3 linked regions of the Caenorhabditis elegans genome follow. The protein of the gene in region 2 interacts with the protein of the main gene of each other region in a pairwise test. Each region holds a gene or a part of one and is shown on either strand. Other genes may lie near its edges.

Region 1 (8,255 bases), on a different chromosome or scaffold from region 2:
AAATATTTAAAGATCAGCATCCAGATGCGACTACACTTCTGTAAATTTTTTACCGAATTTCCAAAAAAATCATCCCAAGAATATTGATTGAGTTTTAAAATTTTCAGAAAAGCAACATAACAAATTGGGTTTATTTTAAATAAAGATCAGATAAATTTTAAATATTCGATTTAACGTCTCTGCTTTCAAATCACACAGGTCTCAACATTAGGCTCAGAATTTGTTTTTTTCTTTCAAATAGTAGCAACTTAAAATAATTTAAAAAATCTAACTTTATAGCATATTGTGTTCTGAAAAGAGAAAACTAAACTCCTCTGAGATTTCTCAGTTTATAAGCCCTATACTTGTTCCCTGAAAACCGTGATTTGTGCCCCCTAGATTTGCATAATCTTGTTATTTGTTATTAGTCGAGAATTACCGAATTTGGTTTATCACTAACGAAAATGTGATAATCCTCAATATTAGTCCATCTTGAGTTCTTAATTTCAAAGTAGTTTACATTGAAGGTGATCTTGTGGAATTATTGTCTTTTTACATTCTACTTACAATTAGTCAAAAAAAGCTCAGAAAAGTAGAGCATGTTTTCAGATTTTCCAGATTTTCCTCCAAAACCAAATCTAAGTATTTTAACGTTATATGACACCTTCTTTTATCTTTGCAATACTTATTCAAAGATCATGCACGGGTTGATTTTTTGGTCTAAAACGTTGTTTTTCTTGTTCCAACTAACAAGACAGGATAGTTCAATCATCTATTGCTACTACATGCATAATTGATTTCCACACATTTATGGGGAAAGAGCGAGAGCCATGAAAATTGTTTTTTCCTTTTTCCTTTTTTCTTCTTCTCACGTTTCATTTTTTTCTCGATATTCTACTTCAACTTGAGCTGGAGTTGAGTAATTTTTGGAGACGACTTCTTTTTCTAAATAAGAGGAAGTTGAAAATTGACTTGAGGGCTTCCAGACGCAGCGAGTCTCGAGAAGTGTGAGAGTATTCCCTTTTTTCCAAAGATCACATTGTCCTTATATTTTAAAGGTCAACAATTAAAACGACGAGTTCATCAAACCAAACCATCGGACGAGAAATCAAAAAAAAATCCCGGTGCAAAAGATAACAACCACGTGACATTGACATGTTAGCTTAGAGTCCTTGAACTGATGTAATAATTAGCTGTTGTTCCGTCCTAAGCCAATTGGCCCCTGATAATCTTCATGACGTGTCAAAAAAGTCATCTGACTGTCCCCAAAAAAGGCGGTCTTCATTCAGAGTGCGTAAGAAAAATGATAAAATAATGTTCCAATTTGTGTCTCCAGTCGCGTTTTTTCCACACCCGCCGTCCGCCACCAGCGAGCAAAGAACATTTCGAGCGCGTGTTTCAATAGTCGTCCCTTTAATGTCTGCGTCTTTTACATTCCAGTACACTATTCATTACGGGTTTCTCTGTCTCTCATCTTCATCTCCATGTACGTGTTTGCACGATTCGGTTCCCGTATACCTTGTAGGACAGGTGTGTGTACCGTGTGAATACTGCCGTACTTATCTTCATGCTTCCTACTTTTACTTTAACACCTATTTGGTATGGTTGTCAAGTTTCAGATTAAGCAGAAAAGTTCACTACGAACATATGTAGTTCTGATTTGACTTTCTGATGACTTTCTGATGAGTTGACCTAAAATATGCACTTTCTTTTAGATTAATCTCGGAGATATACCCAGTTTAGCGAGAAGAAAGAAATTATGGAAAAATGTTGTTGGTCATGGGTCACGAAACATAATAGTTTTCAATATAATAAGATTTACATAACTAAATTTAACCCGAGTTAAAGTAATAAGTCGCCTTTTGCAGTTGGTTTAGAATTTGGGCTCTCGTCTCTGTATTGTCATCCCTAATGGGCTTTCGTTTTTACAGCTTAAAAATTAATTTTTCATGAGTTCTCCCTTAATTTGACTTTTTAATAATTTTTGAAACTACTCAGTATGTTGTATTTCTTTTAATAACAAAAGGTTATATCATTCATGGATTTGCCACCTAAAATTATGATTTTTTTTTGTTTTTTACATAGATGCAACCAGGTTTTGTATTTGGTACTTGCGTAGAACTATTATTATGAAAAGCCTGTATTTATATCTTTGTTTTTGTTGATCAGTTGAGGTAGTTTTCTTATCGGTTAGTTCAAAAAGTTAATGCGACATTTCAAATTTGTGCATATTTTGCTTCCCCCATGACCACAAATAATTTCGGCATTTGTGTAGTGTGTAGTTAGAAAAAGTGATACTGATGTTAAAATTAAATATTTCAGACTTTTCTAGTACGCAATTTTAACTAAAAAATGGTGATTAGATATTTTATACCGATTTCAAAACGTTTTTGATATGCGTAGTTCAGAATTGACTACGGATTTATCGGTTATCTCATTTTTGTTCTTCTCTCAAGTAATATTTTTTGCAGCCAAATTATTATTTTAAGGAAACTGTAAAAATGTAGGTACTTATTGTTAGAGGCTAGAACCACAATGAAAGTAAAGTATGTTTCTGTCTCAAAGATGTTATAGTCTTCAGAACCAACCTCATATGGCAAATTTAAAGCTTGAGTTTATCTACCCAAAAGGTTACCTTTTAAACATTTGAACTTTGAAATCAAACCGGATATTTGATATCATACAATCTAGTTGTTTCCGTGTGTATCAATTTTGTAGGTTGTAGTGTTCGTTAATTGAGAACCAAAATATTCATTTTCGCTTTCATTTTCCTCTTTCTTCCATCATACTTCAATAATTCAAACACGTGTAGTTTGTATGTTTGTTGATAATGTTTTTATTGCCTTTTCTCTCATTAATTACTCCTCCCGTGATATCCAACTGTTTCGTCTTACAGGTGTCCTCTTCACAGAATCAAATCGTCACAAATCATGGGCCCTAGATCAAGTAAGTGATTCCCTTTTCTCCTGCGAATTGTTCATTGCTTCCTTTTCCTATCTTCTTATGTTTTCCTCTTCTTGTTGATTTCTCTATCATATAACATCTTGACCAGACTATATCCATAACTTTATAATCTTTTAAACATACTTTAGCTAACATTGACTTATAGAAATTCAATTGTATTCAATTGATAGAAAACATGAGTTGTGGCTGTGAATAATAAACATTCCAACTTAAAATGTTTTGTTCTTCTCAAGGATTGAATACCAAACTTTAATGTTGCGTACATATCCTGGTGCTTACTAAATTTATATTTTATTCGTATTTTTCCTAATTAAGTTTTTACCAATGTAGCCTTTAATAAAGTTCAAATTAAACCAACAATTTTTCTTTTGTTTCTTTTATCGCAGATAAGCCGGTAAAAATTGGCACCAGCCATAAGCATACAAGTAACTACTTCCTTCTTTTTTCCTTGATAATCTGTTCAATGATCCTACCAACCGAACACATCTTTCATTCAGTGGCTCTTCACACCTTCCCTCCCATTTTCACTTTTTGTTCCGCACAGCCGGTTGTTTCGTTGCTCACCTCCCATTGCTCCATACTCTCACGTCCTCTCTTTTCTATTCTTTAAAGTACAATTGTGTGGAAATGGGTCTGCCACTTGGGCAGTTATGCCCATAGAAACTCCACGGGTCATCTCGACTTTCAAACCTATCTAATTTTCATGATGTCATGAATTACTTCATTTCATTTCATGTCCTCTGTTTTCATATCATTCTTTTATTTCATCCTTTTTCTCTTTTTTGTGATAATAGTTTTGCGTTCATTTTGTTCATTGGTAATTTAGTTTTGCTAATTAACATATTCTGCATCGAATTACTATCCTTATTTCTGTTTTCTGTACTCTTGTTTTTCTGGTCTTATATGACAAGATCATTGAAATAACACGCATTCCTGTCTGCCTCAACGAACTAGAAGAAAAACACATATGAGACCAGGGAGGAAATAAAAATTCTAATCAAAAGCCTAGAGGAGTTTATGACGAAGATGGAAAACATGAAAGAATAAAGAAATTAACTAGAATTTCGAAGAATTTTTTTCTGATATCTTGTCTTTCTACGTTATAATAATCTGCCAAATTCAAACTGCCAAAATGTAAGAAAAAACTATATTTTGAATATTTTAAAACAATATCTTTTGAAATCCATATTTATGCAGTTTCGCCTTTAAATAAATTTACAGTTTTTGATTCATGTATTTTTTTTTTCCTGTTATGACAATTTTGATTTTTGTAAGCAAAACATATTTCTAAATTTTAAATGATTAATATCATCTTAATCGGATTATAAGCACTGATTTCAACCTTATATTTCTATAATCACTTGCGAGATATCAAAAGATCAAAAGGTTTCACATTAGTAAAAATTTTGATAGCTATAATTAAATTGCAGGATTTGCAAGTATTCCTCGACTATAATTATTTTTACCAGCAATGAAGGGTTCCCTATCAAGTGATAGGATTAAATTAAAAACAAAAAAGTAAAAATTGTTCGTTGTTCCCCCTATTCTTCCTCTGTTTATTTCTCTTTTTCCTAGACTCCTCCGCGCGAGCGCAAAATTAATGGGAACAAACAATCGGAACAAAGTTCGTCGCAATGAGAAATGGAAGAGTTGACTGTAGTTTATGCTGCTCGGAACAGATCACAATATGAATGGACAGTAGGAAAAAATGAGCGAGACTCCTCTTTAAAAGTGTGAACAGTTCTTGCACTATTAGCAGCCGAATCATTTTTTGTACATTTCTCTATTCGTGCTGATTGCTTCTCGGCTAATCCATAGATCATACTATATCAGAGATCGCTATATTTTTGAAGAGCACAACTACTACTCTCAGAATGCACCGTCAAAGAGGTAATTGTTATAATTTATAAATTCACAAAATTTTCTAAATTTCAATTCCATGTTTTAAAAAAAGTCCACAGCACAAACTTCAAAAATTTTGAAATAAAGCTTAAGCTTCACTAGTAAGTGTCAAATGAAACTTGATACGGACCACTGCAGTTTTAAAACTTTTGAAAGTCATTTTATACTTTTTCATTTGCACTGGTGGAAAACGAACTTTTGATATCATCTTCCAGCATGTCCTTTAGTTCTTTCTCTGAATAATCTCATTATTATTTAATTTTCCTCGTCTGTGAATAGTTTTTTTTTCAAAAAAAAAACACAATTTTCCAATCATTATTATTCGTTTGAACACCTTCTGGTTTGAAATCTTTTGTTAACTTCAATGGTCACAAAATTTTTGTGACTCTTTTTCTCTAAACTCTCACTGCTCTTTCTTTCTTTGCCTTTTTGCAAGACATTTTTTACATGCCGTGAAATTTTTGTTCTTGGATTGATGTATGTTATTATTATAAAATTTAATAATAGTCGTGCTTAATGACGTAAATCATGTAGTTCCGTTTTGATTTGTTCAATGCTCAAAGGGGGATTTGAACGTGTTGAAACCAAAACTCATTGCTATAAATAAGAAGAAAAAGGCTTTGATCTTTAATTTTGATCAGAATGTTGTGGTTTTCGGGGATTGGCGCTCTACACGATAATATACGATGTGTCCCTGCTACGTGATTTTTTGAACATTTTCGGAGGAAGAAATCTAGAAGTCAGGGTTAATGGCTTTATATTTTATTCTATTCTGATGAGAATTTACAACAAATTGGTTCCTATTTTCTTGAAACATTTGTTTTTTCCAAACTATGCACTTAAAGTAACCACGTGTCAGATCGTGATTAACAAAACAGATGGTAGTGGGAGAAGGCGTCGCGACAGATCAGAAATGGAGATGATTAAAGATCGCACAGATTTTTTATATTTTTGTGATAGAGAGGTCGAAGAGATCAACTGTATGCAGTCAAAATACGCATTTTTATGACAAAAATATTGAGAACAATTCGTTTGTAAAAAATGGAAGAGATCTTTGCTTGTTTATGATGTCACATGTTGAATTGAATTTTATGAAGAGTCTAGACATTCAAAGAAAAAAGGGATTCCCCAAATGACTTCGGCCAACGTTGAATTTAGAAATAGTCATTTCCGCAATAGTGTGTATTTCAAAAGTTTCGATAAATTACCTTATTCCTTTCGATTTTATAATATGCTTCTAATCACTTTTATCAGACCACTAATTTTCAACCAAAATACAGCATGTCAGTTCAGAATTCCAATTTTCGTAAGATTAAAATCTTCTGTCCTGATGTGTCTGGGGGAGTGCCTTTGCCTGCAGATGTCACGTGGAACATTTTTTTGCGGTGCACTTTTCATTCAGACGTCAATGTTTTTTGTTGGAAGTCTGATGAATCTGCCACTACCAATTTTATACTGAGCAGCTCATTAGGTTTAAAATTTGTTCTGGTTTATGCCAATTTATTCATTCATTTTTGTTTTAATTCCTTACATTTCAATTTAATTCTAATTTTATAAATACATGCTATTATATGCTCCAGACTTTCCTCACCTGTCTGTCTTTTGCCAGGTGAACGCCCTGGAAGGTACGGGAGGTACGTCTTAGCTGGGCGTGACACACTACTAGAAATTTTATTTGTTTTTGAGAATTTTCTAGGTGAATGTTCTCTATGTTGTTCATGACATGATTAATTGTTTTATTTAGATCCCATTTGTGATCCAATCACTTGAGTTAGTTTTTGAACCCTTCATCAAACCATCACCTTCTTGAATGATTTTTCTGCCAAAGTACTCATCACATTGATTCGCTCATCGATATAAATGGATGTTCTCTCGATTTTTCCCTCGCGCGCACACGCGAATCTTTTTAACCATTCTCTGAGTGACTATCATACCGTTTACAAATCCGCCCCATGTGACAACTTCACGCCTCCGCCTCCAGAATAATGAGCGTTCTCCGCTCAAAGGACCGTATAAGAGATGCCTTCAAACGGTTCATCGAACCGCTTCTTCTTTTCTTACTGTCATTTCTTCTAGATCATTCAGATTACGCTCAATATCATCAACTCTATTATATGACCATTTTCAAAAAAAAATTTACAAAAACGAAGTAAAACGTGGAAGTGTGAGCATCTGTGTAGACACAGCTTTTCCTAAATAGTACATTGCCTCTGATTTTTGTATTCAAGTGCATCATAGGATTTGTGTCTATTGAAAAATGGCTAATCCTTATGACTATATCACATGTTGTCACTAACAATTTCGATGTGTCGTGTAGTTATTATATAGCGGTGGTATAGCTTTTGAAGATTATAAAGTGGGATTAAATAAGAAGGAGGAGATGAAGCTCGGCATGAAAAACTATAAAAATCAGACAATTTTTGTCTAGAAAATATATTAATTTTCCTCTGAATTTTTCGACGGGTGTTCGCCTCTTTGTAAATTTTAAAACTCTATATGAACTACTTACGAAAAACCTATTCACGTTCGTTGACTTTTCTGCCCTGTCAATAAATTATGGCTAATCGTGTATTCCGAGACACCCCGTACTTTGTACCCGAAAAATGTTGCTCTCTCGCTCTTCTGTTCTCCTCCTCTTCAGCTTGAGGGTCAAATAAGAGAAACGGCATATTCAAAATGCTTACCGCGCAGGAAAATGATCATTTTGTACTTTGTACCCGTATTTTCCGCACGGCGGCCGCCCGGAAGAGGGACATACCGTAATGAAACATTTTGAGGTGAGCGGCGTCGACTCCGCCTTCATTTGTCTATTTGCACCTTCTCACCTTTTTCTTTCTGTTGGAAAAAATACGACAGCATAAATCACACCAGCTCGGCGATGGGGTTTTTTGCTCCCGATAACCATTTCGTTTTGTTGATGTCCATCCACTAGAGTCTGGTTTTTCTTGCTCTCGTGCAAGAGCATCGGCGATTTTTTGCACTTTGAGCCCAACACCCACTGAGTCATTAAGTCACTAAGGTGCGCAAAATGGTCATCTCGGTGTTTGTTGTGTTATCAAATTGTTACGGAGGAGTCAAGAAAAGATGAAGAAAAACGTGGATGGAGAGGGGTCCGTGAACAAATATGTTGGAATATATGTACTGTATCTCTTTTTCTTCCGGCGAATTTTGATCTTTGAGATAGAAAAAAAACTTATTGAGCCTTTTCAAACGTGTGTTTTGGTAAAATGGTTTTTGCTCAGCAAGCAGTAAGTTGATCGAAAAGTTGTGGAAAGAGGTTTTGGAATTGTGAAAATGTTCACGATCTTTATACTATTAGTAAAATTTGACTAATAAAAATTTGGAACTCAAGAATTATTTGAGAAAAATATTTTTCCGATGGAATAAAATTAAAGGAGAACTTCCAAAAT
Region 2 (8,933 bases):
TTTTTTGCCGGAGCATGTCAATTTAATAACATTTGAAAATCGAAAGTTACAATCGTCAGTCAAAAAACAACGCGAGTTCCGTCCTAAAAATGATTTTCCGAAAAAAGAAAGACACGGCTCCATCTTTTCAAAATCCATTTACAAAGTGCACATGCTCTTTGGCGCCACACAGGTCATTCTTCTTCTTTTTCAATAATGTGGTTTGTGAGCTGGAATCATCTTTTTATGGTGCATCGAAGAAAGTTGAAAAATCCACCTTTTTGGCAATTTTTTGAGGCATTTTGAGATTTCCAGAGGAGCTCGAAAAAAGTGAAATTGTATAATTTTTTTGCTGGGATTACGGTACTTTTGAAGAATTAGAACAAATACCGTACCTTGTTTCAACTTTTTTCTCTCGAAAAATTGGAATCTCATAGCGAGCCGAGTACTTCACTAACTGTAAGGTGTTTTTATTGTTTATTCTGTGGTATTATGTGATTTTTCCTTCACCGTCTCTTTCACTATTTCTATCTATGTATCATCACCATTCCCTCTCTCCGTTCTCCTCTTTCTCCTTCTTTCCGCGTGGCCTTCCGCGTCGCCCGCGCTGTGCGCATACACCCCTCCTTTCTCTGTCATCTCTCTTTTCTAAACACTATCTAGATTACTGCTGCCCCCCGTTCGGTGCCGCCTCCGCCCGCACTGCCGCCATACTCCCGAGAAGACGCGGTCTGACCCTTTATTCCCGCGTCCCCCCGTCCCTTTTCGCTACAATCGATACGTGGTGGGACCCTCTTCGTTTTTCAGTTTTTTTCATTATTTCTGTAGGATTGAACGTTATGAACACTTTTTTTAGCAACATAATATTACGGATGACCTATTTCTCAATTTTTGCACAACCTGCACAGTTTCAAAAAAAGGTTAAGTTAGCTCAAAAGCTGATTTCTTTTTTTTATAGCTGTAGGACCTAGAACGTGTGCCACACCCAAAAGCTCAGTTTCAGCAGTTTGTTTTCAAATTGGTGGTCTAAATAGATTTATAATAATCCATTGTCACCGAGCACCATAATAAAATACTCCAAATACTTTTTTAAAAAGATTTTTCAAAATTTCCAAAAAAATTAGGAATTTTTGTTTCACAACTTTTAAAAACAAATTTTAAAAAAATCGTATTGTTTTTTTAAATACTTTACATTTAATTTTGGAGGTTAATTTCCAACGGATCTAGATCAAAGTTGGGAGAGCAAGCTGGAATAGTATAATACTCGTAGAATAATTTTTTGAGTCTTTAAAACCTCCAATTGTCTTTCCCTCTTTTCGCTTAAAATGGCTGCCTATATACCTATAGGGTAGGCCTATTGGTTTCCTATGCCTGCTAGTAATACTTGAATCATTTTCCATTTACCTGTTAAACTTGCAAGAATTTTGAAATTCGTAGATCCAGATAAGTGCAAACATGGAGTTGACGCCAGAAAGCAGAAAGTAGGCGGTAGGCAGGCAGGTCAGCAGACAGGCATGAAGAGTACTAAAGCCTACTATAACTTACTAAACAAGCCGTAACCCGTAGGTTGAAATTTTTGACAATTTGATAAAAACTATATACCCTCTATGAGATGAGGTAAAAGGTGTACTGTAATTAGAGGATCGAGAAGTAAATTTAATGTTTCGAAATGCACAATTTAGTGAGTTTAGGTATTTTGACCATTTCCACAAAACTCTGAAATTTTGATAGCTCACAAAAATGATGTCTTTTAGCTTTAATCCGTTGGTGCCTAAAGATTAAAATTAAAATGATGTAACCAAGATAGGAATATTATTTTCAAGCTGAAATTTCTATCTGAGCCCTGTAAAACTGCTCCAAGAGATCTTTTTTGCAGACTTCTGTGATTTTAATAGACGAAGAGAAGTAGGCGAAAATTCCGAAAGCTTTAAGGAAATACATTTTTGAATCTGAAATTTTTTTGACTTCACTTGCGCGAGCAATAGATTCAAAAAACTTAGAACTTTAAAAAAAAAAATGAAAGTCTTCAAAAAATCTATCTTTTTTGGAGCCTGATGTTACATTGTCTTACTTTTCTTGTAAACTTGAAAAATCTAGATCTATAACCACTAAATTCAGTGAATATTTTCATTTTTCCCATCCATCACCTTTGTTTTTTGCCGTACTAGGTGGTGATGGTGACACGGGAATATGGAGAAAAAAGAGGCGTAGAAGAAGAAGAAGAAGCGGTGACGATAATAGGTACGTTGGTCTAAAGAAAAAGAGAGAAAGAGCTTGTTTGGGTGGTCTTCTTTTCTTTTTTTTCTGCTTCTACTCTCGCTCCCCCGTCCTTCTCTCACTCCACCACGAGCGCCTCTATTTTGACTGGCGCCGCGTCGGTCATCTGACTGCTTCTCTCTTTTTTTCATTCTTTTTCTCTTTTTCTCTCTATCCATCTTTTTTCGGCGCGCGCTTCTCCTGGCGCTTCTCGTGGGCTCTGGGAGTCAGGTCCCTTCTGCTTTTTGGCTCCGCTTCAACGGAGTCATTGAGCTCACGAAAAGGGCATTCCAAGTTGGTATTTTTTGGTTTAATATTTATATTTTCTAAAAATTTAATTATATTGTTATTCATATAGTTTTTTGTAAGCTTAAAAAATGATTGTTTTCGTTAGTATCTAACCACATTGTAATAATTGAATATTTAATTGTTTTTTCCGGTCAGGACTTTACATATTATTCATGTTAAGCTAACTTTACAGATAATCATAAGTTTATGAAATTAACAAGAAAAACCGCAAGTCTTGTACAATACTTTCGCAAGTTTAAGGGTCTGCAGACCGGCCTGGGCTTATGATTGCTCTTAGGATTAGGCTCAGGCTCAGGCTCAGGCTCAGGCTCAGGCTCAGGCTCAGGCTCATGATGAGGCCTAGGCTTAGGCTTAGTTCGTTTTTTTTCAGATTGTCTTGATTTCTTAAAATTCGCGTCATTAGACGAAATTCCCGCTAGGTATAGGCCGCCTCCGACTGCGTTTTTACTTTTTTGACCAATCTACCATCTAATTCTAGGGTTCTTTCATTATCTCTGTCACTTTTTCATTAAATTTGTATCTTTCAAAAGTGATGAATAACTGAGTTAAACCAACACAGCATGGCGCCAATAAATCGTCCGTCGCCGCGTCCTCCTCCCTCTCTCCTCCGCCGCGGCCGCTTCCCGACGCCATTCCGCATATATTTAGTGGATTCTACTGATGTGGAGCCAATGGAAACCGGGAGAGGGGAGAGGCTCCAAACCGGCGGACGGACCCCTGCTGCGACCAGCTGGCGCCTGGCGCGACCATTTTGTTCCCCCTCACTGCATCGTTTACTACTAGTGCAGTCTCTGTCAAAAGAGCACACTCTCTTCCATTTTTTATGTTTACAACAACTCGAAGAGGGCAATCTTAAACTATTCATTGGAATTTTGGAAAACATCGGAACATTATCTAAATATTTTTAAGAAGTCTACGAATTTTGAACTTTTTGAAAAAAAGCAATCTAGCAAAATATTTTCAACTAAATAACTTTTTATCATATGTTGAGGAGGTTTAGAAAGATTGAAAGCACTACAATTAGAGGTGAATTGGAATGTCCTTGTTTGCTCTCTGATTAAAAAAAATACAAGTTCTAGTAAAATAGTTTTGTAGATCCCAATCCAAACCAGAGAAAACTCATGATCTCACAATTTTGGAATAACCCTATCATATTTTTTCAATTCTCCGATGGTACCACTTCCTTTTCTTCTATTGCACCTAAATATTAATATTCCCTTTACTTTTGTTTTTTGTTCACCTTAATCGCAATTGTCACTTAATTCCTCTATTAGTACGCTTCTTGCATCTCTTGGATTTGTTATTCAAATGTTCTAAAACAATTGAGACATACCGTGTAGATAGTTTTGAATTCATCGTATTTTCCATTAATTTTCCTCTTTTCAGACCGCCTGTATGGTGGACACCATGATGAACACAAATACAGATGGTGTCACAGCGGTTCCTCCGATCTTTCCACTACCGTCGACGACACCAAACAGAAATAATAATAATGAACTGGCGATGTTGGCACAGAAGCAAATAGTCGCCGGATTACTGTTACAACAACCAACGATTGTGCAGGCAGCGGTGAATGGAACCAATTCGCAAAAACATTTGGCAGATATTGACTATACGAATGTTATTCAGGTGAGAGATGGGCTCTTTGTGGTTTTGACTCCTTGATTAATATATTGAGTTATAGATGTGAAATTGATTCTCTTGAAAGACTTTTTAGATATTCATGTTCGAGTAAGTCTATCTGTTATTTTTCAGACTCTTCAAGCCCTTGGCACTACAAATCTAAAAGCATTCTCTCTACTTCTTGATCCACAATCCCAAACATCTCAGTTAATATCTGAAGATACACGTCCATCTGCCAGCTCATCACCGTCTTCAACTGCAACTGCAGTATCTAACAGTGGACAATCAAACGCAACATCCACGTCATCATCGTCCACAGAACCCGAATATAAACCGAGAAATGTGCGAGAAAAAGTGTATGCAGATGGATATATCATGTCATTTGATAAGAAATCGTGTTGTGGAACTAAAGAATTTTGGAGATGTGAACGAAAGAATGATTGTAATGCAAGAATGCATTCAGATATCAATACACGAGAAATTGTGAGAAAGTTACATCCACATAATCATGAGAAACCGTCGCCCGAAGAACTTGCATTTTATGAGCAAGATTTCTCTACTCTCCATCCAAATTATTGTCATCCAGTGAAAAGTGTGAGTTTTTTTGAGCTAAAAGATTTATGGTGAATATTCAAAACTTGAAATATTCAAAATAGTTAGAAATAAAAAGTCGAGAAAGAACGAAAATGTATGTACGCCGAAACGTTATATGTATTTCGATTTTTACTAATCGCCCTGCTTGAACTTCCTCTAAAATGATAAATGTTAGACCAATCAGCGATTCGCTCCGCTCATTTTCCAACCAATCAGACGGAGTGGGCGGAGTTTAAAGACGCAGTGGGCGTGGATTTTCATCGCGGGGGGTTACAGGGAAACCAGCCAAAATAAAAAAGTTTTTTTTTAGTTTTCGGTAGATCCTGTAGGCAGGCAGGTAGGCACAACACTTATTGTTAATAAAACATTCGGATTATGTGTAACTGCTAATTTCATGTTTTTTGATTTAAGAATTCCAAAATTTCCCAATCTTTTTTAAATTGAAATCTTTTAGATCAACCGATCCTACATGCAACGAAAACTGAGCCGTGCCTCACATGTATCACAAGCTCTACCAATTGCTCCACAACAAATTAAAGCTGAACCAATGGAAGTTGACACGACAAATCAAACAATTCAAAACTTTCAACAAAACAATAATTTAATGCTTCTCGCCTCAATCAATGCAGCAGCAACTGCGGCTGCAGCTGCAACTTCTGCTGGAATAAGTCCGCCGGTTGTTGGACAGAAAAGAGTATCAACGACTGTGATGCCTATCACTTTGAAATCGGTTTGTTTTTCTTGAATAATTATGCTTTGTTCAAACATCATAAGGTTGGAACTTTTCAAAACTATAGGTTTGAGCCAGAAAAACGGAAATGAACTAAAAAAAATGATACGAATTTCTAAAATTCAGGGCCAAATTCGAAAATTTCGAACAACTTTGGAATTTCTTAATATTTTCAGCAACGCACAACTCCTAAAGAAGAAGAAGATTCATCTCAATTGATGTCACAAGAAGAATTCCGTATCACTTACGAATTGACCAAAAAGCTCATGGAAATGATGAAGCCAAAAACTGAAATTGGAGTTCGATGGCAAGGAGATGAAGGGTCAATTCTTTTGTTCTTATCACATGATAATGGAGCAGAAGAGAATGTCTTCTTTCCGGTGGTTGTCATGAATCGTGATGAGGTAAGTAATATAATTTCTGGAAGCCCGAAAGACTGAAAGCAGAAAACAATCAACAATTATTTCCTAAAAATTTATAATTTTCAGAAATCCCTAATCACTGCGTTAGAAGGATTCACTGGCAAACGTTGCGAAGGAAAACTTGCTCTGTGTTACTCACAGAGGGTTAATGTGCTTGTACATGAAGCGGTAAGCGAATCAATTTTCTAAGACTAGACATGAGCCCTGGTAGAGTTTTGCTACGTGGCGGTGAATATGAGAAAACTCTTCCACTTTTCGAAATTTAGCATTGATTATTTGTATTTGTTGTAGGGGAAGCTCGAAGACCTGTGGGAAAGCTCGAAGATTTTTTCGAAAGTTTGGCAGTTTGTCAAATTTATCCTACAAAAAATCTAAATCAAGTCATTTTTTTCTAAGCATTTCTGAACCTTTCAGCTAATCAGCAATTGGACACACGGAAAACTATTTCTCGTCAACACTGATGCACCGGCTCTCTGGCGTCTAACGCCCGTCGACGCTTTCGGCGAGCCTTTAAACCATGTCTAAGTGATCATTATTCAATTAATCGATAGTTTGGAGTCATGAAATTATAACTTGACCGACTGCAACGTTTCGCTGCACGCTACATTTTATTAGTTGTCATGAACCTATAATATCGAGCTCCCGGAGCAATCATATAATTACAAATTGTAAATTTTTTTTTAAATTTATTCCAGCCATTTTCCCCTCTCAATACCTCTCCCTTATCTTGTCTCTATAATCTTGTCTGTTTCTCAACAAAAAAGCTCGTCGTCAGGTCCCCCATTTCCGGATCTCATTGTGAACTTTTCAGAAAAGTTCGCAAATTTTCATATTCCTTGTCAATTCCAATCTCTATGTCTCCCTTTTATTGTGCTCTTTCCCCCTTATAAAATTACGGAAACCACCCTCTCCAACTCAGGAAAAAACCCCCTTTATATGCTCCTTTTCTTTTGATAAAATGATATCGTTCAACTAACAATTATCCCCTGATCACTTACATCAATAAATTGTTTCTATGAAATAAAAATATATATAAAGTGGACAATTGAACATGAATAAGTAAAAAATGTTGCTATAATGTCACCATTGTGTTCTAGCATTAGTATGTCTAAGTCCATGAAAAATTGAGTACCTAATCGTAGCAAAGAGATGAGAAATAACCAATTTTGTCATCAAGTTCCGAATTCATCAAAAAATATCACAAAAGAGCTCCAACATGCTCCAACAAATACTCATCAAATTTCGTGACATTTTTGTCGAGTTAGAATCTTCAAGAGCCGAATTAATAGATGTTGCTCCTCTAGTAAAAGTGAGTGTTTGTGTTTTATATGACAAAATTAGTGTTTTTTTAATTTTGAAAACTATTCTTACAGCTTGTCGATAAACTCGGAACACGGATGTTCAATTGTTAACTTTTCAGACTGGCGGTCCGCATAATTATGGGCCACCCTGTAGTAAGGGTCGGTCTAGACTCCAATTATACATTATCAAAAATATGTAGAAAGAACATGACGCTCATACAATTGTGGCTGTTACATTGACGATTACATCAAAAACGTTGCTAGGAAACAAATTGAAACGTTTTTTATCTTAAACAATAGAAAACATGTTAGCTAAATATCTGATCGAGACATAATTATTGCTTTAAGTGTGCGAAAATCAAGTTTTACTTGTCAAGATTGTTTTGACCATCTTGCAATTGTTCTTTAGAGATATGAGAGAAATAGTGCAGTTGTAAATTCGATCATTGCAACTGCAACAATCATTATCAAAATTGAATAGTGTTGATATCAAAATACATTGAAGATCCTTGAAAATTGAAGATTACACAGATGTAAGTCATTGATAAAAACTGCTTGGTTTGAAACAATGATTCAAGACTGATGATAGAAATTATTCCGAGAATTTCAGAAAAAGGTATGGCCGGAGAGTACCTTGACAGTAAGTTCGTGACTCAACTAATCGCTCAAAGCTCTATTTCAATTCCTTGGACCATTGCTTGAACCTTCTGAAAATAATATTTGTGGAGGTCAAACCGTACTGAATCATCGTATTCAATCGAGTTGTCAGCATAAGATCTGATACTTGTCTTAGTTTGAGAAGAATGAAAGAATTCATACAAACTTGCACACTCTCGCACGCGCAAAGCTTTTCAATTAACTTCAAACCTACGAAGTACGCACAAAAATGTTATCCTGTAAGCCTTCACGGTGACCTACGGCTGCTGGGAAGGCAGTCATGAGACAGGCACGTACGTCTGAATAGTTGATTTGACATGGAAGCTTATGTCGGTTTCTGTTTTCGTCAGAATGATCAGTTTCGATTTTAACACTTTGCTTTTACACTTTTTTCTCTTTCATTTCCAGCTTCTAATTCGAAAAAATATTTTATTATCGTTTGGGTGAACGTGTTTTCGCTATTTTTCTTGTTGGGTCTCGCCACGATCTCTATCATTTTAGCTTCTAAATAAACTTCAGAAAATCGTACATTTAATGTGGGAATTAAGATTTATCGGGATTTCACACTCTAAAAAGACAGAAATAGCAGTGAGATCCTGGTTTTACCCGCAATTAAAAAAAAGGCATTATTCATCAAAACCTATGGAAATTTTCGAAAAACGTCATCGAAAAAATAATTTCGAAATGTTCTGAATCTATGAATATTTTAAATCATTAAAAAAAAAATTCCACGTAGTTAGTAAAACCTTTTTGAAAGGTAAACTTACGCAGTCTGTGACAAAATTACTTCATTTTTCGCTTAACTTTATCAATAATACAATGGAAAATGAAAGGAGTCGCTTTAAAGCTGGTCCCTCGGGTTAATGCGACATCAAAAAATGGATGCCTTAAGGAGGTGGACAATGCAACGAAAATCAATTCAATATGTGAAAGTGCTCCGAACACAGCAAAGCTTCTGCACTCTTGCATCTTCCCGAAGATCCCAACAACTGTCTGTTCACAATATTCATTATCGCCACATAAGACTCATTTCGCGATGTTTATGGAAATGTGTGGAAGTGA
Region 3 (7,326 bases), on a different chromosome or scaffold from region 2:
GTGATTTTTGAGATATCATAATAAAAATTGGGGAGCATAGGTTTTTCAACATTTGCTATCGAACTGCACTAGCACTTTTTCAAAAAATATTTTGAGAAGCTCCAAACCGCCAAATTGGAGGGGGGTGCTATAGAAGTTGGACGCACTGTATAATTATAATTATTTGGTGGCCCTGATAATTTATTTTATTAATAAATTATTAATAACATGTTTTGTTAGCAACTGAGATTTCAATTAAAATAATTATTTGGTCCAGCAAGTTGTCGGCCGCTCTAACTTTTTCCAGGGTGAAGCTGGTAAAAACTTGATAACTGCAAAACTGTAGAGTAGATCAAGAGCACCACTTTGTTAGTTTACAACATTTTCCTGAGCGCAATAGTTCTCGAGTTACACCTATTTGAAAACTCAGCAGCCAAAAACTTCCAACAGTCCTGTAAATCCATTACGCTCATATTGATCTGCTCTATAACAGCTGTGCAGCCGTTTTCAGTTGATATTTTGTGACGTCTGTCTGTTTTCAGTCGATATTTTGTGACGTCTGTCTGCAGAAACTCGAGATCTCAGTTTTCTCAGACAAATCTCGATGGATTGAAAGTTGAAAAGGTCTTGAATAGGGAGTTCACTGGGAACAATAATCTGGCTAAATACCTGCCATGTGTGGAAAAAATCAGTATAGTTGGCGGAAAGTCTGAATCGAAAAATGATTGGACAACATTTCACAACGTTTCTAACCTTGCGATCTTCTTCTCTGTGACTCTTAACGACCTACTATTGATGAACAATCCAGTGATTTCACTCCATGCTACCCCGTTATCCAATTCCAATTTGAAATTATTGATCAAGCTCTGGGTTAAAGGCTTTGAATCCAGACCTTGAACTTTTCATTTTCTACATTTACAATGATTATCCCCACTCTAGCCCAGAGCTACTAATGCCTAATTCAGCCGAGGAATCTGATGTTCATGGCATGCGTGCCTATCGAATTAAAAACATTCATGGAACTTTTTCTATTTGGAGGTTCTGATTTCTTTATTCCATCGTTTTTTCTAATCAACACTACTTCTATTTACGACGACGACGACGAGTTACTGTCAAACACCGTCCGACGATTGAAATCTTCAATTTTTTCCAGTTTTTGAGATTTTTTTCGAGTCTTTCGAATTAAGCTTATTTTCGAAACCTCTAACTTCTTATTTTTCTATGTTTTTGAACTTCACTTTTCAAAACTATATTTTTAAACTCCACAAAATATAACTATGTATATGTCTTATCAAAATACTTTATGAAATGCTAGATAAAAGTTTCTTGAATTCTTGACTTGACTTTTTCTGGTTTGGTCTGGTTCATGATTTGAATTTCTTCTGTAAGTCTTCAAATTTTCTCATCAATATAATATAAAGAAAACGTAAATTTATTTTTTGTACTGGCAAATAAAACTTTACAATTGAAAACAGAGAAAAAATAGTGGCCAAAAATCAGTTATTAGAAAAATGCAATTCATATTTGAAAACGAACAATTTTTAAACTTCAAGAACTCGCTTCAAGACCCGCTTCATCAGGAATGGGCTCATTTCATCAATGTTTCCAGCGATAATTGAGCGGACATCTTGGATGGTTTTGATGGTGTTGCAGCAGTGAATCTGGAAGATAAAATAAGGTTATATTCAGGTGCACGCACTTACCTCTAGTTTCTCCAACTTGTATCTAATTGCCAATTCCAATTTCTTTTTCCCGGACTTCTCGGACTCCTTGTAAAGAAATTTCTCGCATTTCCCAATAACCGCTCTAGAATCGTACATGTCAGCAAGTTGAAGGATTCCTTCGACGGTATTGTCTGAAATTTTTAAATTATTACCAATGTGAGCACTAAAAACTAACCATCAATCGAGTCCTCCAAATAGAGAACTTCCAAAAATGCCTGGAAGGCTTCCGGGTCTATCCCAGAGAGGGTAACCTCTGATTTCTTCGACTCGCCGAAACTGCCAAAGAACAAGGATTTGAAGTAGGAGCACTGCAGAGCGAGATGCTTTCTCAGAACATGAAATCTCTGCTCATCCACTACCAAAACCACATCGGACAGCTCTCCCATAGACTCATTGTCGAACTTCAAAACCGGATCTCTTCCCTTGAACCCAGAAGCGTTCAATATTTGAACATGAACTTTAAAGTGTAGCGCATCTTCAATCACAAAGTTTTTTGCGACTTTCTCCCAATCGGCAAACTGCTTCCATCCCCATGAGTTTTCCTTCGGCTTCTCACTATTGAAATTTACAGTGGCTGTTTTGCAGTGGGGAGATTCATTGGGAGATCTAAGCTTCACTTCAACATTCGCCTGAACTGACCAAATTGTGCCAAGTTGGTCGCAACTAAGATACACCTCAAGTTGATCAGTTCTTCGATTGACATGGAGTTTCCTGGAAATATAAAAATTTAAATAAAAAAAGGAAAGTTAAAAATACCATGGAATATAGTAATATTCTTTAACCTCGCTGCAATAAGTGGTATCCGGCTTGAAGTTGGAGATTGCTTTAATAGTGTAAGTTGACACAAATTCCTTTGTTATAACGAGCATGTCTACTAACCTACTAAATTGCAGAAAAATGACGAATAGGAAGACTTGTAGAGGCAGATTATGAGTGAATAACGCTAGGAGATAATCTTAGTGGATCGATAAAATAATGCATAATGCAGCGTCTCGTTTCCCGGCAAATTTGGCACAGTTGGCAGCTGGTCTTCCAAAAATGTTGTGAATTTTGTTAAAGATTACAATATTCCCCCCAAAGAAGGTGCATCGTCAATGGAGAAATTACTGAAAAAACTGAGATACTGAAAAACTCAATCAGCTCTACAATGTGCAATTACACACATTTCATAAATTCGTCGGCCCCGCTTCTCCAAAAGCCCCAACGTCATATGTGACGCAACTTCTCACAGCTTTCGAGGACACAGTCTTTGAACTTATGTACCTCTTTTTGCAACTACGCAAAAACATTTCTCACTCCCCTTCCTCCCTGCCCTCGGACAATCCGCAGAGATTTCTTCTGTGAAAATGAGTTTGTCATCACTAGACGCCGTATTGTCGCTTATTGCAACCTCTTCCACTTTGGATCAGGATTCTGCTAAGGTGCCCCAGTGTCAAGTTTGCAAAAGAAAGTTCGCGAATCAGGTTAGTTTTTGAAGTGAGCAAAAAAGTGTTGTTAATTTATCTTAATTTTACAAAATTTACTGTACAGCAGATAATCTTCCTTTTTTTGCTAGTTAGTATATAGAGCTCACTACCATTTTTCAGAAAACGCTGAGAACGCACATGAAGCACATTACGTGTAGGCCTGGACGTTCCAATGTGGTGAGTTTTTGAGAAAATGTTTAAGCCACTGAGCTTCTCCTCCTCCAACTATACGTTTTTTCAGGTCAATCACAAATTCAGATGTGAAAATTGTGAGAAACAATTCACCAACAAGCCAAACTTGAAGCGTCATCAAATAACTCACTCTGGTTCAAAATCCAAGAAGTGCAGCACTTGCCAGAGAACATTCTTCAGGGAAGATCAGGCAAGCAGATTTTATTCCATTTTTCCTGTTCAATTCCAGCAATTTGTAATTTTCAGCTTCAAAGGCACCTGCACAACCATCTCAAGGAAAGATCACATTTCGACTGTCCCGTGTTGAACTGTTCAATGCAGTTCGTATTCTATGAGGGCGTTGAAAATCATCTCGTAAACCATCACCACTTTTCATACAGCGAATCGGCTCCGTGTGGAAAATGCCACAAGTTATTCGGGAGTCCTAGGCATCTCCTGGTACACTACCATTTTGATCATAAAGAGGTGAAAAGCTTTATAATTCTTTAAGACTTAACAATCCTTTCAGGCTCTGCGCTCTTCGGCTCCTGCTCCCACAAGCTCCGCCAGACTGTCACCTATCACCGTATCAACTTCAGGAAGTCCCAGAGCTCAGTTGGCAATCTCGCCACAAGAGAAGCCGCCTCAAAAATTGAGCATAAATCTAGGAACTTCCCCGATGATCGAAGAATTCTGTGAACAGAACTCGGTATGTTTTCATTTTCAATATTGGTTTTGGTGCCGTTCTTTGAAACCATTAGACTTGAAATTTTCAGGCAACTCTTCCAAACACTGATCAACAGCTCTCACCAACTCTAAGCCCCAATGAGCCAAGGTTTAGAAATCTAATTACCAGTGAGCCAACCCCAAGCTTTGTAAGTTCTTAAGTTTCAAAGTACACTTTCATCAACTCAAAAGCTCTTCAGGAATGCAAGCACTGCACGATCAAGTTCCACGATGCCACAATGAGCATCATGCATAACGCCCTTCACGCGCCAGGAAGCCCATTCAAATGTGCAATTTGTGGAGCAGAATGTGGAAATAAGATCGTGTTCACCATGCACATCATCACTGCGAGTCATGATTTTGGTGGCATAGGAACTTAATTGATAAGATTCTACTGCTTAATTAATATTTTTTCTTGTTAAAAGTACTCAATGAATCTCGTTCTCGCCCTTGAAGGAAACTGATAATTGTTGATAACTACGGTAACCTACAGTACCCTATTCTATCGTGATCACTGATTTTATGGAGTAATCAAACAATTAGTTGGTCTTCAGAATACAGGACTGGTAGATCAAACTACGCATAGTTTCTTTTTCTATCTACATCTTCTTCACTCTCCTTCCCATTTGCTCTCTGCCAATACCGCGCGCCAAATCGATAATTGCGCCCCACCAAAACACTCTGCGCGGGTTCATTTATTCCTTCACCTCTACTCTCTTATCAATGGACCTGCCTGAAGCTCAAGCTCTTGTGCCAGTTTATTCTCAGGTACTGTAAAATTTTCACAAATTAATTAATAAAGGATCCATTTTTTTTCAGGAATTGCGCAAGGTGCAACAGTTCAAGTAATTACATTCTCAGAAATCTCTGAGCAATCACATACGGAACACCAAATGTGGACTTGGGCTGTCTTCTTACGAAGACGTTAGTGCTTAATAGATAGCGTTTGGCATCATAATCTATCTATCTCTATCTAACTCTATCTAACTTATCTATTTCAGAGGTACACCTGCGAATTCTGCGGATCGAAATACAATTACCAAAGAAGCCTGGTCAGTCATATGAAAAGTCATCTGGAAACTGAAACTGCCGCTTCTCCAGCTCCTATGCAGACCAACTATCTCACGTGTCCTATTGGTCAGTGCGAGATGAAGTTCAGTTCGCAAAAGATACTTCTCGAACATCTTTTCTGTCGCCACATAGGCCAGGTGCAAGAAGTGTAAAGCTCCGTTCGCCAGTGTTCAAGGACTCCTTGCTCATTTCAAAGAGAAACATTGTGGACTGAAGGTAGAATCAGCGACAACGTCAGCAGACGCCGCGCAGAACACTTTAGGGGAGTTATTGAATGCGATGGGAGCTTCTTTGTCAGCAGAAAGAATAGATGGTGGGCCAAGTCAGGAGCTCAGCAAGGAAACGGATTTGCAGGAAAGCTTGTTCATAGAGTCTTCAGCTTTAGCTTCAGCCAATGGATGGCCACAGCTTTCCGTTGATAGTCAAAGTTCGGGCACCAGTGGTTTCCCAACGAGAAGCAGGCTCTTCGAAGAAAAACCATTGACCTATATCAACATTGATTCTCTTCCCTCGTCTTTTAGCCTCACAACTATGGTAAGAGTTTAAATTGTATATTGAGCAAAATCTTTGGTTTTCAGGTATCTACTCCAGCTCAGTTGCTCAGCTCTTTTCCCGGTGTTGCGACAACGCCAGAAGCTTTTTTTGAAAACTGTGAAGGAAAGTTGTGGAATTCCTTGGAAGCTTCTTTGCCGTTGAAGATCAATGATGGAATGCCAAACCAGGAGTTCGAAAAGCAAGCGGATTCTCAGAAAAACTATGGATCACCACAGCTCAGCGGTGCCACCCTTGATGGTCAAGGCTCAGTGAGTTCAAGGCTCAGTGAGAGAAAGCTCAAGTACGCAAGTGATCTTCCGACAAGCAGTAATGTTTGTGAGCCAGCCAACTCATTGAGCTCGACGAGGCACCAAACTCTCACCGGTTCTAATGGGGTAAGGCCAGTAAGTTTAACTTCATGTAAAGAGCTTCTCCCTCTACAACAAACTTTTTCCAGGTTAATCGCCAATTCAAATGTGAAATCTGTGAGAAACAATTCGCCAACAAGCCAAACTTAAACCGCCATCGAAAAATTCATTCTGGAACAAAATCCAAGAAGTGCAACATTTGTCAACAAACGCTTCACAGAGAGAATAGGGTATGCTAACTAATTTCATTTTTATATACTTTTCAGAATTTTCAGCTACAAGAGCATCTGTACACACATCTCAAAGAACGATCTCATTTCGACTGCCCCATGCTGAACTGTTTTACGCAATTTCGGTCTCATTTGGAAATTCAACGTCATCTCGAGCACCACCACCTCGTTTCACCACACAATTTGGCTCCGTGTAGGAAATGTCGCAAGCACTTTGGAACTGCCAAGTATTTCCTGATTCATCACTATTATTATCATTCTACGGTGAGAAAAAACTATATAATGCTTCAAAACTAATACATCTTCTCAGGATCTGACCTCTTCGGCTCCAGCGTCAACTTGCTCAACCAGATGGTCACCTATGACCGTATCAACTTCAGAATCCAGCTCAACTTCAGAATCCAGCTCAGGAATGCCAACACTGCAAGATCCAATTCGACGATGCCCCAATGAGCCTGTTGCACAATGCCCTTCACGCTCCAGGAAGCCCATTCAAATGCTCATTTTGTGGAGCTGAGTGTGAAGATAATCTGGCGTTTACAATTCATATTGTTACTGCCAATCATAATTTTAGTGGACTTTAATTGATAATTTCGTACTGTTAAATAGTTATTTTTCGTAACGCCATTCAATAAATCTAGTTTTAGTTCTCGAGTGAAACTTAAAATTGATATATAATATGAAAAAAGGTTTTTCGGGCGCCCAAAAACTGCCGAATAGTCTTTTTTTGAAGCTTATTAGAAACTACACATATTTTCTTTCTTTCTCTGCGTCTCTCTTTCTGACCTCCCATTTGCCCTCCGCCAATACCGCGCGCTCAATCGATATTTGCCTCCAACACTCCATTCCGTAAAGGGGCATTCATAACCATTTAAATACTTTTTTCTTCTATCAATGGACCTGCCTGTAACCCCAGGTGCTCCCAATTTTGCTCAGTTGCTTGACCCAGTTCATTCTCAGGTAACTTTTTCCACGTTTGTTTTCAAAAGATTCAATTAAAATATTCAGGAGTTGGGCAAGTTTGTCTACCAATGCAAAGCGTGTAGCAGAATTTACG

Evidence for each region. The genes of interacting proteins can lie anywhere in the genome.
Region 1: the proteins of flh-2 (region 2) and nhr-21 interact in a two-hybrid assay, tested with the Caenorhabditis elegans proteins (one large-scale study listed by BioGRID).
Region 3: the proteins of flh-2 (region 2) and sdz-12 interact in a two-hybrid assay, tested with the Caenorhabditis elegans proteins (one large-scale study listed by BioGRID).

What each region holds. Positions count from the first base shown.
Region 1 is NC_003280.10:7,336,354-7,344,608, forward strand, and holds the start of nhr-21 (NR LBD domain-containing protein), read left to right. Parts: upstream 1-2,875; 5' UTR 2,876-2,909; coding exon 2,910-2,925; intron 2,926-8,255.
Region 2 is NC_003281.10:4,948,194-4,957,126, forward strand, and holds flh-2 (FLYWCH transcription factor 2), read left to right. Parts: upstream 1-3,930; 5' UTR 3,931-3,939; coding exon 3,940-4,173; intron 4,174-4,299; coding exon 4,300-4,761; intron 4,762-5,215; coding exon 5,216-5,491; intron 5,492-5,667; coding exon 5,668-5,895; intron 5,896-5,979; coding exon 5,980-6,081; intron 6,082-6,327; coding exon 6,328-6,438; 3' UTR 6,439-6,978; downstream 6,979-8,933. Other genes in the region: C26E6.1 (Protein kinase domain-containing protein), read left to right, coding at 8,698-8,933. UniProt on the Caenorhabditis elegans protein: Probable transcription factor. May bind to the promoters of target genes, including micro-RNA genes, in order to repress expression, and acting redundantly with flh-1 and flh-3.
Region 3 is NC_003280.10:3,727,272-3,734,597, reverse strand, and holds sdz-12 (Zinc finger protein sdz-12), read left to right. Parts: upstream 1-2,774; 5' UTR 2,775-3,049; coding exon 3,050-3,166; intron 3,167-3,289; coding exon 3,290-3,346; intron 3,347-3,410; coding exon 3,411-3,551; intron 3,552-3,607; coding exon 3,608-3,826; intron 3,827-3,869; coding exon 3,870-4,049; intron 4,050-4,116; coding exon 4,117-4,215; intron 4,216-4,266; coding exon 4,267-4,446; downstream 4,447-7,326. Other genes in the region: bath-31 (BTB domain-containing protein), read right to left, coding at 1,521-1,640, 1,683-1,834, 1,879-2,414, 2,460-2,572; C46E10.8 (C2H2-type domain-containing protein), read left to right, coding at 7,164-7,229, 7,278-7,326. UniProt on the Caenorhabditis elegans protein: Together with ehn-3, may play a role in gonadogenesis.